2 linked regions of the Kluyveromyces lactis genome follow. The protein of the gene in region 1 interacts with the protein of each later gene in a pairwise test. Links are inferred from orthologs where the notes say so. Each region holds a gene or a part of one and is shown in the gene's direction. Other genes may lie near its edges.

Region 1 (2,519 bases):
ACTGCACGTTGAAGGTAGCAGTAACCGGAGATTCACGTGCTATTTTGGTAAAACAGTCTGACGATGGTGCTTGGACTGTAAAATCCTTAAGTACCGATCAGACTGGTGATAATGTACAAGAGGTCGAGAGAATCCAGAAGGAGCACCCTGATGAACCAAACTGTGTACGTCAGGGTAGAATACTAGGATCTCTCCAACCTTCAAGGGCTTTTGGTGACTACAGGTACAAAGTGAAAGAGATAAATGGGAAAACCGTTTATGATCTACCTGACCATTTGAAGATATATTTCAGGAGGGAACCTAAAGATTTCTTGACACCTCCTTACGTAACAGCAAAGCCGGAAATAACCACAACAAACGTGGACCCTAAAACTAAATTCATGGTTTTAGGATCTGATGGTCTTTTCGAGTTGTTGAGTAATGACGAAATCGCAGGTCTCGTTGTGAAATGGATGGAATCACATCCTATCAAAAAGAATTTCAAAATGTTGAAGGAACAATCTCCACAAGGTAAATTACCAAAGCTAGAAGACATCTCCCCAGACAAAGAAGCACAAAGGCCTGCTTTTAGGTACCAAAGCTCCAAAAAACCTGACTCTAAGAGCGAATATCTCATGCAAGACGAAAACGTAGCAACTCATCTAATCAGAAACGCTCTCAGTGGAGGCGGTAACAAAGAATACGTTTCTACATTGGTCAGTATACCTCCAACGAAGAGTAGACGTTACAGAGACGACTTGACTGTCACCGTTGTCTTTTTCGGTGAAGAAACTGAGGGCATTGATGGTAAATTAGAACTCAACCACAAAGCCACCAAACCAGAAGAATCTAAACTCTGAACCCGCAGTCTTAGCATAAAAGTGTTGTTATTTAGTTAAATAACCGTTTTTGACACTTATATAAACACACTGATTCGAAGGAAGGTTCACCAAGCACGTGACCTACTATCAACATTCAAAAGCCTTGTTTTCGTTATGGGAAAAGATACTAAAACTAAATAAAACTAAAAAAAGGATGAACGATGCTCCCTACTTTTATTGAAACGTAACGTTTACAACCGGAGTAGCAGATTGCTCTATCGGTAACAAGAGTGTACGAATTAGTTTTTGAGATTGTAGACAGACACATTTTCTTCTAAACAATCTCTCGAGCATACAGTCATCATATTAACCAACTTTCGAAGAAGAAATCTTGATTTACCTGGTCGTCATTGATATTAAGGTCATTTTCAGTTGTAAGGTACTAGGAAATGAATTCAAACGTTACGTCTATCAAGTTGGTACTCCTAGGAGAAGCTGCGGTGGGGAAATCTTCCATTGTTTTGCGCTTTGTGTCCAATGATTTTGCTGAGAATAAAGAACCCACTATTGGAGCAGCCTTTCTAACACAGCGAGTAAATATGGCTGACCACACAATAAAGTTTGAAATCTGGGATACTGCTGGTCAGGAAAGATTTGCATCGTTGGCCCCAATGTATTATAGAAATGCTCAAGCAGCTTTAGTGGTTTATGATGTAACAAAGCCGCAGTCATTTATCAAGGCTCGCCACTGGGTAAAAGAATTACACGAACAAGCGAGCAAAGGGATTGTAATCGCATTGGTTGGAAATAAGATGGATTTGTTGGAATCTGAAGAGGATAGGAAAGTAGCCAAAGAAGAGGCTGAAAAATTGTCACAGGAAGAGAACCTTTTATTCTTCGAGACTAGCGCTAAGACTGGTGATAACGTCAACGAAGTGTTCTTGGCCATTGGAGAGAAAATACCCTTAAAGAAGTCGGATGGGTCCAATACCGATGGGTTACGTGGAACAGAAGATGGAAGGATCGACTTGAACAAACCCGATGATACCTCGAATCCCAACTCATGTGGTTGTTAATACTCACGACCCTATCCTCTTTTTAGGGGAAATGGCCTAACGAAATGATTCATATTAACAATCGATGAAATTAATTTTAACCAGAGGAAAGGAGCCAATAGAACAAGATATCTACCGTGCCTATAATATTCCAATATCATCATAGTAGAAGTTTAAGATAACCAGTAATACATAAATCAGTTAGATTTACATTTTTTGTACCTACATTTTATTTCTATATATATTGGCGTAGTGAATTTTTCGGATCCCCGTATTGATCGATTATTCATGAATTCAATCATAGAGAACTCTATTCAGGTAATGAGATGTATGAATGATGATACATGCGTGATGAAACTCTAAAGGATTCAACCTGGGTTTTAAATTGTCATGGATGGCCAAGATGAGGAGAATGATGTGCTATTATTGGAGCGTACTGCTAGCTCGTTTTTTCGTTACAAGGAATTTGCGTTAGAAGAGTTCTGGCGACCCAGAATACTTAGGTGGGAATCACTGTCCGAGCATCAGAAACAAATGATACCATGGTATAACTCATATCTTGAGGATGTACATGATGCGATCGAAACAAACTCCATTTTTTACATGAATCTGTTGGAACGTTCTGTGAAATTGTGGGGATTAAATAGTGATCCAAACTTATGGG
Region 2 (3,249 bases), on another chromosome or scaffold:
AAAAGTTGTGCAGATTTTATTGCTAATATTCTGTCAGGCGAGTCTGATGGCATTTTACCAGTTCTAGGATTTTCAAAACCAACATTCAGAAGCTCAATTATCGTTTCAGAATTCCTATTAATTTTAATGAGTTGTTCACACAGTAGTGCTGTGATTACGGAACAATCTAATCCACCAGAAAATAAAATGCTAATATTTCCGTTTTCCAAATGCATAGGATGAATTGTAACTATTCTTTGGTATACCGATCGTCTAAGGCACTCGTACAATTTAATCTTATACTCTTCTAATAATTGGAAATCATTATCAATCTGGTCGGAGACTATGTATGGCTCATCGTGAATTTTAACGGAACCTGTGAGTTGTTTAGTATTAATATCAAAGATATAAATGACACCGGCTAGACAGTTCTGGAAACCGTCACATCTTCCACTTACACTGGTAATATATAGCTCATCATCAAGTAATATGTAGCTCAAGCTTCGCTTACCGATGCTATCTCTCCCAAAATATACCTTTCGTTCTTGAAGATCAGTAATTGCGTACGCAAATTCTCCATAACATTTCCTTACTACCTCTTCAACAGAATGCTTTTCCAAAAGTGAAGAAATATATTCCGTATCACTGTGTTCACAATTTTCAACAGTATCATCATTATACAGTTCCCCGTTATACTGTAGAAGGTAACGATCTTGTACCATGACGCTTTGTTTCGTGAATGGTGTTCTTAAAGATAATACAGATGAGAACAACATAGCATTAATTTCAGATAACGATCTCAATGACGCATAGTTTGGACCTCTTCTCACGATATACGGTATCAGTTCATTAAATAACGTATTACTATTACATGACTGTATTGGTCCTGTTAGGTCTTTCTCGTATAGTTCTTGGAATTCATCAGTAAGAGTTGATCCAAATGATTTACCAAAATATGCCAAAATACCACACATACCAAACTAAAAGCGACCAACTCAAGTAGCTTATTGTACTCTAATTGAAGTATAACAACTCTACATGTAAAGCTTTATTACCAGAGGGGTCCACCTGAGATGAGATATATGTATATTGACAACTTTTTTTTTTAATTTTTCAGGCTGCCAAACCTTTAGAAATAAATCAAACATGTAAATAAAGAACAAGATTGACTCTTGATCGAGAACGCCATTTTACGAAAAGAACCCTAGCGAATCGTAAATGGTTTCGAACCAACAGCGAAACTGTTTTTTACATTCATAGAGGGTGACATCTGTTTATCCCAAATGGACGCAGACGACGATAAAGGATTCAATGCTTCTCCAGAGACAATTTCGGAGAAGCCATTAGCTGACGTAGGGGAAAACTTAGATGAAAAGAATAATTACTATGACTTTCAAGCATTTCTCAAGATAATGCGAGACCCTAAGGCAGATCCTATTGTCAAACATACCAAATCATTTATTAGGAATTTTGTAAGCCAACGAGAAAACTGGACAACATCTGAACAAGAGAAGCTCATTAATGACTTTAAAGTTTTCATATATGATAAACTTCTGACAAATGAAGCCTTCAGAGACCTCAGTGATGCGCAGATAAAGAATGCTAAGGAAGGAATAGAGAAATTAGTGATGGGGAAACTTTATTATAAGTGTTTTTCTCCTTGTCTAGTGAACGAGAAGAGAAGTTCAGATGCTACGCATGAACAGGATCTTTTAGATGACGCCAAGTTAAGGGACAAAATCTTAGAGTTCAGATTCCTTGGCCCAGAACATTTGGATATCATTCCGGATTTGATCAACGGAAAACTTCACAGTTTCATAGCACTTTCCGCAAAAGAACTGGCCAAAATCAACCAGTATCGCTCCCCTAGAGATAAAATGGTTTGTGTTCTAAACTCATGTAAAGTTTTATTCGGGCTTTTGAAACACAATAACAAGTTGAATGGTGGTGCGGATCACTTTGTACCATTGTTAATATTTACTTTGCTCAAAAGCGATGTCCCTCATCTTATCAGCAACGTTCGTTACATTGAAAGATTTAGATTTCCATCGTTCTTGATGGGAGAAAACGCATATTATTTAAGCACCTTACAAGGAGCGGTCAATTTCATTCTAGATATGGATATAGATTCGATCAGCATCTTAGAAACGGATAAAGACTTCAACAAGAAATATTCTCAGAATCAGGAGGAAATCAAGGATCTTAAAAAGCAAGAACTTCTAAATCCAAAGGATTCATCTACCAAGTTCCCACACCGTACTGTGTCACCTTCGCCAAGTGAGTATATACTCAAGCCGCTTGATGATGCTGCAAATTCAGTGCTAACTAAACTCAACGACTTTTGGAACACAAGTACTTCTCCAACACCCTCTTCACCAGAGTATGAGGATAGATCTCCCAGAGATCATCAAGAGATCGACGAACATACAGCCACCGTTTTGGCACAACAGATGGAGCATAAAGAGCAAGAAAATACACTTCAAACATTACAGTTGATGTTTCCGGATTTAGACCCAGATCTTATTCGAGACGTATGCATAGCTAGCAAATACAGAGTCGGTGTTTGCGTAGACTCATTGTTAGAAATGGCAGAATGATTATTAAACATTTCTTTGGGCGATTTATTAATAATTTCAGCCATCTGAATTATACATTGGAGATCCAGTAGCATGCTCAAGAGAAATCGTTTAAGTGTTAATACTGGTAGTGAATTGTTAATGTATCCTCACAATATCAACACCAGCACTGTCCGTATTAGTTACATTTTGTGCAATGCACTTATATAGAACTTACATTTAGTACCTTCACAAAGGGGAAGCTGCCCCCGACGAATGAGATAGTGATTGTAGTTTCATCAAGTTTCCATCTATTCGCCACCAGTGCCACCTATGCATGACCATACCTCCCATGGAATTTCCAATCGTTTCGAAACTGTCATGTGACGTTTTTTCAAAATACATATTGACGTGTTCAATCGTTAAGAAATACAATCTACGTATGCTAAAATAGCGATAATGCCCATGGGTTCCCGCACTAAAAGAAAGACTCTTTCACTTCACAAGCTTCCTCCTTAGTCATCTACCGTGAGTGGTATATGTGTTCATAACAAAAATGCTCCGGTGCTTATTCACCTATACTGCCTGTAGTAAAAGTGTCACTTGATGATTCCCATTCCACTTTTTCTTTTGAGCCAAAAGGTACCCTAGAAAGAAGAAAAGAGAAAATAAAATCGGTTAATTTATATAAGGCTAAGATTCAATCATTTGATTT

The links. The genes of interacting proteins can lie anywhere in the genome.
Region 2: the proteins of VPS21 (region 1) and VPS9 interact in a two-hybrid assay, tested with the Saccharomyces cerevisiae proteins (3 studies listed by BioGRID, with this or other methods). The link is inferred for Kluyveromyces lactis from reciprocal best matches to the Saccharomyces cerevisiae genes VPS21 and VPS9.

Annotation. Positions count from the first base shown.
Region 1 is NC_006039.1:1,172,080-1,174,598, forward strand, and holds VPS21 (Rab family GTPase VPS21), read left to right. Parts: upstream 1-1,249; coding exon 1,250-1,876; downstream 1,877-2,519. Other genes in the region: type 2C protein phosphatase PTC5, read left to right, coding at 1-839; KLLA0_C13750g (S-adenosylmethionine-dependent methyltransferase), read left to right, coding at 2,246-2,519.
Region 2 is NC_006040.1:867,458-870,706, reverse strand, and holds VPS9 (guanine nucleotide exchange factor VPS9), read left to right. Parts: upstream 1-1,262; coding exon 1,263-2,576; downstream 2,577-3,249. Other genes in the region: KLLA0_D10285g (putative asparagine synthase), read right to left, coding at 1-953.